3 linked regions of the Callithrix jacchus genome follow. The protein of the gene in region 1 purifies or fractionates together with the protein of each later gene. This does not show direct contact. Links are inferred from orthologs where the notes say so. Each region holds a gene or a part of one and is shown in the gene's direction. Other genes may lie near its edges. The genes, in order: APLF, LIG3 and CHD1L.

Evidence for each region.
Region 2: the proteins of APLF (region 1) and LIG3 purify together in Homo sapiens (affinity purification with mass spectrometry; 3 studies listed by BioGRID and IntAct, counting the BioPlex papers as one, with this or other methods). This does not show direct contact. The link is inferred for Callithrix jacchus from reciprocal best matches to the Homo sapiens genes APLF and LIG3.
Region 3: the proteins of APLF (region 1) and CHD1L purify together in Homo sapiens (affinity purification with mass spectrometry; 4 studies listed by BioGRID and IntAct, counting the BioPlex papers as one, with this or other methods). This does not show direct contact. The link is inferred for Callithrix jacchus from reciprocal best matches to the Homo sapiens genes APLF and CHD1L.

The regions. Positions count from the first base shown.
Region 1 is NC_133515.1:45,393,582-45,397,236, reverse strand, and holds part of APLF (aprataxin and PNK-like factor), read left to right. Parts: intron 1-1,071; coding exon 1,072-1,219; intron 1,220-1,534; coding exon 1,535-1,667; intron 1,668-3,655. UniProt on the Homo sapiens protein: Histone chaperone involved in single-strand and double-strand DNA break repair.
Region 2 is NC_133506.1:99,179,068-99,182,722, reverse strand, and holds part of LIG3 (DNA ligase 3), read left to right. Parts: intron 1-2,484; coding exon 2,485-2,685; intron 2,686-3,655. UniProt on the Homo sapiens protein: Isoform 3 functions as a heterodimer with DNA-repair protein XRCC1 in the nucleus and can correct defective DNA strand-break repair and sister chromatid exchange following treatment with ionizing radiation and alkylating agents.
Region 3 is NC_133519.1:7,397,002-7,400,656, forward strand, and holds part of CHD1L (chromodomain-helicase-DNA-binding protein 1-like), read left to right. Parts: intron 1-2,110; coding exon 2,111-2,259; intron 2,260-3,089; coding exon 3,090-3,253; intron 3,254-3,655. UniProt on the Homo sapiens protein: ATP-dependent chromatin remodeler that mediates chromatin-remodeling following DNA damage.

The DNA.
Region 1 (3,655 bases):
TTCTAAAATCTTATATCTTAGTTTTTAAAAATTCACTTTTAATGAGGACAATTTACACACAGTAGAATTCAACCCTTTTGAAAGTGCAATTCAATACACTAAAAATGATAATATAGTCATTTAAAATACTACCAGAGTGAGATATAGAACATTTCCATTTCCCCACATATTCTCTCATGGCTCTCTGTAGTGTGTCCCTTCATTCCACTACAAATCCCTGGCAACCATTAATATGGTTTCTGTCCTTGTAGCTTTGCATTTCAGGATGTTATATAAATGGAGTAATACAATATGTCTTTTGTGTCTGGCTTCTTTCACTTAGCAAAATGCCTTTGGGGTGCATATGCATTCATACACACATCAATAGTTCATTCCTTGTTATTTCTGAGTAGTAGTTCGTCTATAGTTTCAAATTTTCAAAAAGGCAAATTTGTTGGATCATGTCTATGCATACCACATAAATAATAATGACCCAACAACTTTGGATGACCTTACTGCATATTGCAGAGAGTATGAGGTAATTGGTTCTCCTAGTATGTCCCACATGTGACCATGGATGTTCCTGTGCCAGAACATTTGGCTTGTAGCTATACTGCAGTTTGGGGATACTTCATAAGTAGCCCTATTAATACTTGCCTGAACTTCGGTAGCAGCTGTGTGTCAACTGAAACTCAGGATTTTATTTATTTTTTTCTCTAAGAGTCTAACTAGCTTAACTGACACCATTGCAGTTTACATGATCTCTCTGAAGGCTGGATGGTGGTCTTAATTTTTATGGACTATCTGCACAAATATCAAATAAAGAGCTTGTAAGCCTTGAGAGAGAAGGCTGCCACACATCTCATAAGTAATTGGGGTTTCTAGACCCATGATTTGGAAAGATTGATGAATTTCATGGCTAGCAGGTAGGAAATAAAGAACATACTGTAGTCTATATCTTTGATTCTAGTATACTATAATCTGCTTTTTTTTGTTTTTGCTAAGTCTGAGAAAAGGGATGTAACTCAGATGTAGTCTGAAAGCAGCAGAAATGTATTAAAATTTAAGACAAGTTTCTATTTTATCTTATAGAAACAGTCAAATGCTTGATGAAGATAATGTATTGAATGAAACACCAAAATCCCCTGTTATTAATTTATCTCATGAGACTACTGGTGCCTCACAACTGGAAGGAAGTGCAGAAATAGCCAGGACCCAGATGACTACCACAAATAGTGTGGTGAGAAATTTGAGATCTCATTCATTGATAACATGTTCTTCAAGTTATTATAAAGGCAGAAAAGACAACTGAAATTAGATCTATTATGACAGTATTGCTAGCATTTATCAACTTTTGCTGATTTTAAGTTAAGCTCTAGAGAATATGGCAGTAGTCCAGCATTTAATAGAAATAATTAATTTCTTTAAGAAATTTGATGAACTCAGTATACAGTTGCATATGGGTGTTTTAATGGTAGCATTCGGTAAACCAAATATTTTACAAATTCATTAAGGATGTATGATTATTTTTAGTAATTTATAGGTGTCTTTTTAGTCTTTCCTAGGTGAATGTAGAGACTTCAGTAAGCAGCAGCCAGTCCTTGCTGAGAGGAAAAGAATCCTTCCAGCTTGGATGTTAGCAGAACATTTAAGTGATCAAAACCTTTCAGTACCAGCAATCAGTGGAGGTAGGTTTTTGTTTCTACTAATGCTGCCTTTCAAGAAAATATTAAACAGAATTTGAAAGTTTTTCTGAAGAAAATCTATGAACTGTCTCTATAGCGATAGAGTTTTATAAGTGTATAGCTTAGCCTAGTGTTTTTTAGATGTGAACATGAAGTCTAATTTAAAACATAAGCTATTACCATTTATCAAATACCATTTATACTATTTATTAAAACACTTGTTTTCATTTAACAAGTGCTATTATGTGCTAGAATTATATTAATAAAGACTTTCAAAGAAACCTCTTGGTGCTATGTCTGGGATAAAAGGCCAGCACAAGAAGAATGTTTAAAATTAATGTTTAAAAATGCCAGATGAATTGATATACCTTCAAGTTTACTGATTGTTTTTTCTGCCATCTCTAATTTGCTGTTAAGTCTATTTAGCAAATTATTAATTTTAGTTACTGTACTTTTTAGTTCTAAAATTCCTATTTGGGTTTTTTTTGTATAGTTTATGTTTCTCTGATAAGATTCTCTATTTATTCAATCTTTTGTATATTTTTCTGGAAGTCTTTGATCATATTTATAATAGCTGCATTAAAGTCTGCATCTGTGCACAACTTTGTCATTTCAGACTTATTTTTTATTGACTGCTTGTTTTTTATAGGGGTCACATTTCCTGTGTATTCTGTGCCTTGTGATTTTCTGTCGATATTGGATATTGTGGATGATACATTGCTCTTAATTATGTTATATTCCTCAGAAGAAGTATTTTTGTTGTAATAGCAATTAATTTGGCTGGATTCAGAGTCTACACTGTTTCACCTGTTATGGATGACAGCTGCAGTCTCTATGTAGTTCTTTCACTTTCTAGCTGCTGCATTTTTCTCTGAGTCACTGGGGTTGGCCCCATGCAAATGTAGTCTAGCAGTCAACCAAGAATTTGGGTCAAGTTTATAGGTAGGTTTTTTGCTCTTGCCCCTTCTGAGGCTGCCTTCCCTCCAGGATTTTATCCCTCACCCCTCTCTCTCTCTTCTAGCCTTAAACTCTCTGCTCTGACCATTTAAACCAGTAAGGTTTCTGCCACAAGTGAATTGGAGAATGCCCTCAGGAAAAAAGTCACAAGTTCACAAACCTCATAGGTTATAGTTAATTTCATCATCGACGCTTCTTCAACTCTGCCTCTTTGGTCAATCTCCAGTGCCTACAGATAGTTTAAATATTTTTTTATCCTGAATTTATAATGATTTTATTTGCAGTAATTAGTTTAGTTATGCTATTTTGCCATTTTACCTTAAACATTATTTTAAAAAAATTAACAGCACAAATGAATACACATTTTAGTTGGAAAGTTATACTCTTGGTGCTTTGTGTATTTTGCATAGTGGTCATAGAATTCTTCTAACATTTCGGATTAAATATTTTATTCACAGAATTTATCTTATTTAACGCTAGTTTGGATTATACTAGGATCAAAGTGTTCTCATGGGAAAAGTATAGTATACGTTATGTGTTAAAGGGGACGTGGTTTAATCTGGAGATTTGCAGTAAGTTTTATTCAAGTACAGTTGTTTTCAGTTCTCCCCACCCCCACAATTCATGTTTAATATATATATGTATTTTTATCAGTAACATCTCTGGCTGTATGTGTTGATCCTCAATTTGTAGGAAGGATGTGGGGAATGATAGTGGGGAGGTGCAGGCACTTTCCCTCAGTAGGACAGTTTCTCTGATAAAAGAAAGACTTGACCAAAAATTGGACCAATGTGACCTGGTCTCTGCAAACAACTCCTTTTCTTTCCGAGTTGTTTTACACTGCAACTGCTTCTGTGCTACCACTTATAGTAGTTCAACATGTATTTTGTTTCAGATACATTTTCTTTCACTTGATAGATGTTCCATATAAAATATGAAGCATCTTTTTGGGCACTTCACTTTGAAAATACATAATGAGAGTAATTTGACCTTGGTCTGGAATATTACATGTGTACAACGTACTTAAAATGCTA
Region 2 (3,655 bases), on another chromosome or scaffold:
CACGCATGGATCTCCCTTCTTGATTCTTACAACTATTTGTTCAAAACACTGCAACTTCATAGAACACAGCAGGAAGGAAAAACAAGATCTGAAGGATATTGCTATTTGTTATTGATATATGCTATTACTATCTGAAGGAGGCAGTAAAGCCCAAGGATGAAGCTTGCATACTTTGGAATCAGTGAGCTCTGGATTCAAATCCCATTTCCTAAAGGGGAGGATTGTGGCTATTATTTGTATATTCTTGGCAGGATAGATGAGCAATAAAGTGTTAAGTTTCCTCTTCTCTTCACTATAATATACATGCACACACGTGTATACACACATATATGGTTTCTTTTATATAAAATATTAAATTGCTATTTCATAGAGATTCAGGAAGACTTTGCTGGGGCATGTGGTGTAAATGAGAGTTGAGAAGATCGGGATCATTTATTGGCCTTATGTAAACAGACAGCATTGAGCTAGGTGCTTTTACATATGTGGTTTCATTTGTTCTCCAGTTAACCCTAGAGAGTACATTTATTTAGAAAGGCCCTTTTTTATGACTGAGAAAGTTGAAGTTCAGGGTCATTATGGAGTTAGCATTTGCACAGAAGTCTTGCTCCAGTACCTGTGCTCTTTTACACTGCACTTTTTTGCTGCTTTTATTGCTTGGAGATGTTCTTGTGATTGACTCAGTTGAAGAAAATAAAGTCAAACCACTTGGCCTTATTGTAGAAGTCATTTGGAAATTTTTTTGTCTTTTTTTTTTTTAATATTTTTTATTTATTTTTTTAATATAAAGACGGGGTTTCACCATGTTGGTCAGGCTGGTCTTGAACTCCCAACCTCAGGTGATCTGCCCAAATTGGCCTCCAAAGTACTTAGATTATAGGTGTGAGCCACCACGCCTGGCCATCATTTGGAAATTGAAAGACACTTTATGTGATTGAAAGAAGCCTATACCTGAGGTCAGAAGACTTGGGTTCTGGTCCTGGCACTACTCCTTGACAGCTCAGAGCCCTTAGCAAGGCCTCACCTCTCTTTAGCCTCTGGCTATGAAGAGCAGTGGCCTCTCCTACCATAGTGATATGTGCAGCATACTATGGGAGCATAGGCAGCAATATATAGATGACTTTCCCCTCTGCTTCCTTGAGTTTATGTACTTATTTGTTTAAGCTCCATCATATCTCCATGCTTCATCTACCCCATAGTGTTCTCATGAGGTCTATAAGAGATAACATTGCAAAAACGGTGCCTGGCTCTACAGGATTTTTATTATTTTAAAATTCTGAGGTTGGTTGGTTTGTTGTTTGCTGGTAGACCAAAGATATAGAAGAGTCCAGGTGAAATAAGGACAGCATATTTCTGGAAGGGCCTTAGTGTTGGGGATGGAATTTGGGAGGAGTTGAGAGAAACAGGGTGTTTTAGTTCTTGCAACCTGGTTGAACATTGGCACTTTGGAGACTGTCCCTTAAAATCGTATTTAGATTCCGGGTCAGAGATGAGGATGGATTTATAATTTACAAAGCCCAGACAAGAAGCAGCTTACAACAGCACCCAGCTTAGTAATGACCGTGTCATAAGCTTACAGAATAAAATTTGCTTCTTAAATGGTCACAAGGAGGTGAGAGGGAATCATTGATGAGTTGTGCATAATTATTTTTAACTGTCTGGAGGAAAGCCCTGCCCCTTGACCACATTTTTTAAAAAATTATTCATTTATTTTTTAATAACTGCTCCTGGGGAGCAGGGTTTTATTTTGGCAATAAGAAAAGAAAGGTTAAAGCAGTGAGGGTCGGGATGTTGAGTGTACTTGTGGGATGTGACTTTCTTAGTAGTGTCTTTGTCCTGGCTCTTTCAACGAGCAAGTGGGCCAGGAAGTCATTTGCTCTTCTCAGACGTCAGCCCCCTCATCAGTAAAAGAATGTCGAACTAGATAATCTTTAAGGCTTCTTCTAGCTCTGACAACCTGTGAGAGCGGTAATTTCACATGGACTAACGTGTACCTTGATTTCTTACCCCTTTCTTATGCCTGCTTTTCTAAGGTGAGCTTTACAATTGCTCTGAGATCCTTCTGACCACTTGATTGATTGATTGAGACAGGATCTTACTATGTTGCCCAGGCTGGTCTCCAACTCCTGGACTCAAGCAGTCCTCCCGTGTTTGCCTCCCATAGTGTTAGGTGTGAGCCACTGGGCCCAGCCGGTCCTGATCATTCTTGCATGACTTCAGTCTATTCTTTTGTGAAGTGCTCACATAAAGAGATGCATATCAGTCTGGTCCTTTGCTTGGGTCTGAGGAGGACATTGTTCCTTTACCATTAATTAATAGCTGTAAGATTTCGGAAAATTATTTGACCTCCATTTCTTTATCTGTAAGATGGGTCTGATGTCATCTACCCCAAAGGTCTCTTCAGGGAGAGTAAATGAAGCTAAAGTACCGGCAGAATGTCTTTCTTCCCAGAAAGGCTGAATGAATTCATCTCTGTTGTTTCTCCAGCAGCCAAACCCAACACCTCTGGGGAAGCCCCCTCAAGCCCCACCCGTAAGACAAGTCTGTCTTCAAGCAAATGTGACCCCAGGCATAAGGACTGTCTGCTACGGGAGTTTCGAAAGTTGTGCGCCATGGTGGCTGATAATTCTAGCTACAACACCAAGACCCAGATCATCCAGGACTTCCTTCGGAAAGGCTCAGCAGGAGGTGTGGCATGAGCATCCTGAATAGGCTTTTACTCCAAGAGCTCAAGGCCATGGCTGCCTTCCTGGGCATGTGAGCTGTACAGTTGCTCAGGGTCCCATGCTTGGATTAATGCTTTACTGTAGTGCTGTCTTGAAATTCTTATTGATTTTGAACAAGGGGCCTCGCATTTGCATTTTGCACTGTACTCCACAAATTATGTATTCAGTTTTGCTCAGAGCACTTTGGCGTCTTTCTTCCTCTCCCCTTAGTCTGCCCCTAGGAAGCCAGAGAACCCATTCTATTTGACTAGTTAGAAAATTTACTGTCCTGCATATTTAATTTGGTTTTTGTGAACCATATACACAGCTTGAAATAGAATCTTCCAACTCTGTTTCTTTCATTTATCTAACAACTTGTCACTGAGCATCTGTAATGTCCTTGTCACTGGGCATGCGAAATGAAAGTAACCACCCTGTCCAATGAGAGTTCATCTATAGGCTAAAGGTGAGGCAGACACACAATCCACCAGCCTCTGAACTCTGTGCTTTCTCCTACTGTAGCGATACACACAGGTTACTATAGGAGCATGGGCAGTGATACACAGATATGTTTTGGTCTCTGCTTCTTTGAGTATTTATTTATTGAGACAAAAAATGTGACTGTGTTGCTCAGGCTGGAGTGCACTGGTACAATGTCAGCTCACTGCAACCTCCACCTCCTGTGGTAAAGCAGTCCTCCTGCCTCAGCCTCCCAAGTAGCTGGGACTATAGTCATGTGCCATCATGTCTGGCTAATTTTTGTATTTTTTGTAGAGAAGGGGTTTCACCATTTTGCCCAGATTGGTGTCTAACTCCTGGATTCAAGTGATCTGCCTACCTTGACTTCCTAAAGTGTTGGGATTACAAGCATGAGCCACCACACCAAGCCTGAGTTTATTTATTTTATTTTATTATTTTTGAGATGGAGTCTCAATCTTTCACCAGGCTGGAGT
Region 3 (3,655 bases), on another chromosome or scaffold:
CATGTTTGAAGTCTTCACTGGGCAACCCATTTTCTCCAAAGACCAATCCTCTAGTATTCTCCCTGGGAGGTTGAGGATGGAGTTCACCTGGTTACTCAGTCTGAAAAGGCAGGATGAGTCAAGGGCTCACTGCTTTGTGGGGTGCAGATCTTTCTCAGTTCTGCCCCGTGCAGTATGCTGCACTTGTAAGCCCTAAGCTCTTGGGGGATTGAGAGGGTCTCTAGACTCATAATGAGCCCTTGGCTAGGCACCTGTGTTTGCTTCCATGGCTCTTCTTAATCTGTTATTATTCCTCCAGCCACTTTTCATTTTCCAAAAGGTCATTGAACTTTTTCATCCACCGTTGCCTTGTATATCTTTTTAAAAATCCCTTTAAGTGTCACTTGGTGGTTTCAGGTGAGAGAAGAAATAGATGCATGTAATCATATTTTTAAGTTACAATTGATTATATTGAGTAGCAACGCTTACACTCGTTTCTGTACTTATCTAGATAATTTCAGCCTATTTTGCTAACGTTTACTAGAACAAAATAAAGTCGCACACTTTTCCAGAAAGATAATTATATTTCTCAGTCAATCCAACTGCCTAAAATAATTTTACTTTTTTAGACAGTCCAACTGCCAGAAAAATTCGCCAGTTGTATTAAACTTGGGGATTTTCTCTTTGAAGAATGGGTATAAGTTCGCTCTGTGGTAAATGATTGTCCTGGTAGAATACAGATACGGGTCCAGGCGGTGGCAGAGTGAAGATAGGGAGCATGATTACAAAGAATATAAATGGATAGGAAAGATTGGTAATTCACGTGGCCCCCATCAGAATTAGATAAAAAACAGGGTTGCTTTATCTTGAATGCCAGGGTTAAAAAGCATGTTTGGAAGTTGAGAATCACATGCAGTATGAAGCTACATATGTTGATCATATCTGACACTTCTCAGCTCTGTTTTTCTTTTACTTGTTGATAAAGTGCTTCATTGAAAGCCCCCTGCTGATTTAATTAGCAACGCCAATTACAACTACAGCTGGTTAGATTTGGGTACAAGTGTGAAGCAATTGATCTCTTGAGAATGAAAATGTTTTGCTTTCATACTCTCTAGGGAAAACATACTTAGCAGATTTCAGAAATGTGAAAATACATTATTTGGTAACTTGTGCTACTAAATATGCTTCCCTGTTGAATCATTACCTTACCTGTCTGTGGTTGCTAGTCTGGACTGGTCCTGACTTTCCTTCATCACTTTATTCATGATCTTGGCAGATCACTCAGCCTCTTTGAGCCTTTGTGTTCTCATCTGTAGAAGGGTCCTGTTAATGTCTACTCTACTCTTTTACACAGTTGGAAAAATCAGACACGATAATAGTTGTGGAAGTGATCTGATAGCACGCAGTGCTATTCAAAATTACACTGTTATCTTCACTGCTGTTGTTATTACAATAATTATTATTTGCTAGCACGTTTTCTCTCCACCCTTCTAGAGACACAGTTACATACTGAAAAGAGCACACTGGCCTTAGAATCAGAAAATCCTGCCTCTTCATTTATTACCAGTGAGAATTATAGAGTCCCTTAATTTCTGCCCAACCCTCAGTTCCCCCTTCCAAAGTAGGATTAGTTATATACCAGGATTGTGGTGAGGATCATGAAGATGCTTGATGAGATCTGTAAGGAATATTGTAAATCCAAGGGATTATTTTTATGATTCTTAGATTTGCCAAGTTGAATACTAAAAGTGTATTTGGAATAAAACGTATAGATTTTATTGGATGATCTTAATGTCACTGAGATTTGTGCTGAGGAATACTTGGGAATGAATGAATGAATGAATGAATGAGGAATAAATGGAGGAATCCGCCAGAGATTCACAAACCATGTAGAGATGAACCAAAAGGATTTAAGCCATGCTGTCCCCTTGGAAGAGTAAACACATGGGATCCTTACGTAGAACCTACTTACTTTAGTGTCAGGGGGATGAGAAACGAAATACCTTCATCCAGTCTTAGCTCATTTAGAATATAGGCTGTTTTCTTATCCACTCTAGTTATTGCTTTGAATAGCATTAATCTGTTTTTCCTTGGTATCTAACACTTCTCTCTTTGTGTTCTATATTGTTAGAAAATCATATGTACTTATTTGAAGGGAAAGATTACTCTAAAGAGCCCAGTAAGGAAGACAGAAAATCATTTGAACAACTGGTAAACCTTCAGAAAACCCTTTTGGAGAAAACCACTCAAGAGGGCCGATCACTCCGAAATAAAGGCAGTGTAAGAACTGTTAATTTATTTAAAAGATCTTCTTCCAAACTCTCGTTCTAAGAAAACAAAACATAAATGATGCTGGCATCATTTTGTTCTCGTAGGTTAACTTGTCAAGAAATAAGTATGTGTTTGTTGAAATGTTAATATAATTAACCATACCCTGGTATAAAAACTATGGTAAAAAGTCAGCATAGAAAAACATTAAGAAGGAGAGAATATATTGTACGATTTAGTGCAGGTGAAAGCAGCCTTGTCCATCCAAATCACCCCTAAAAGCATCCCTATATTATACTAAAGTACCATATCCTGCTGTTGGTAATTATGACCCTATGGCAATAGGAGAGGATATCAATCATAAATGATATATGTAATGTTCACAGTGTTTGGCAGTTAATATGTGCTCATTAAATGCTATTACTAAGATAATCATGATATTAAAATATAGTCTTAACAAAACTATATAATACATTGCAGAAAGGTTTTCATTAAAAATGGCTAAAGTGGCATCCTTCAGGGTATGCTTTCAGTCAAGGAAAAAAGTTACTTTTCTGAAGTAACTTATTCCTAATGAAATGAATCAAAATGACTGTTTCCACCATGTCAGTGCTGCGGCTGAGTTAAGAGCAGGGTATCCTGGTCACTGCCTGTGAACTGTGTAATATGAACTGTGCCTTCAAGTGCTTTGCCTTCAGTTCCCACCATGCAGGGTGGGTGGGTGGAGATGCAGTGTTCTCTGAAATATTAAGCATGTTGCTTCTGTACAGTGTGCTGTGGGGATAATGAAACGTAGGGAGGAACATTCTTGACCCTGGTGATGGATCTTGTTCCTACTCTAGGTTCTCATCCCAGGCCTTGTGGAGGGATCTACCAAAAGGAAGCGGGTTCTGAGCCCTGAAGAGCTGGAGGACAGGCAGAAGAAAAGACAAGAAGCAGCTGCTAAGAGAAGGAGAATCATCGAGGAGAAGAGGAGGCAAAAGGAAGATGCTCAGCATAAGAAAAAGTATGTGTGCATTAACCAAGCTGCGGACCACAGTTGGTAAAAGAGTCCCTCATGTAGTGAGACCACAGTTGAGCATCACTTTAAAAATACAGAAGATTTCTTTTAAGCTTGTTCCTATTGGTAACAGGATACTTTTTAAATGCTTACTGTAAGTGAAAAGTCCCAAGTGCGTGAGGCAGGGAAGATGGATTCCATTGAAACTAGAATTTTTTAAATTTTTTTGAGATGGATTCTTGCTCTGTCACCCAGGCTGGAGTACAGTGGGTACGGTTGCTGCTCGCTGCAGCCTCAACCTCCCATGCTCCAGTGATCTACCCTCCATAACCTCCCTAGTAGCCGGGACCACAGGTGTGTGCTGTCATGGGTGGCTAATTTTTTTATTATTTGTAGAGACAGTCTCAT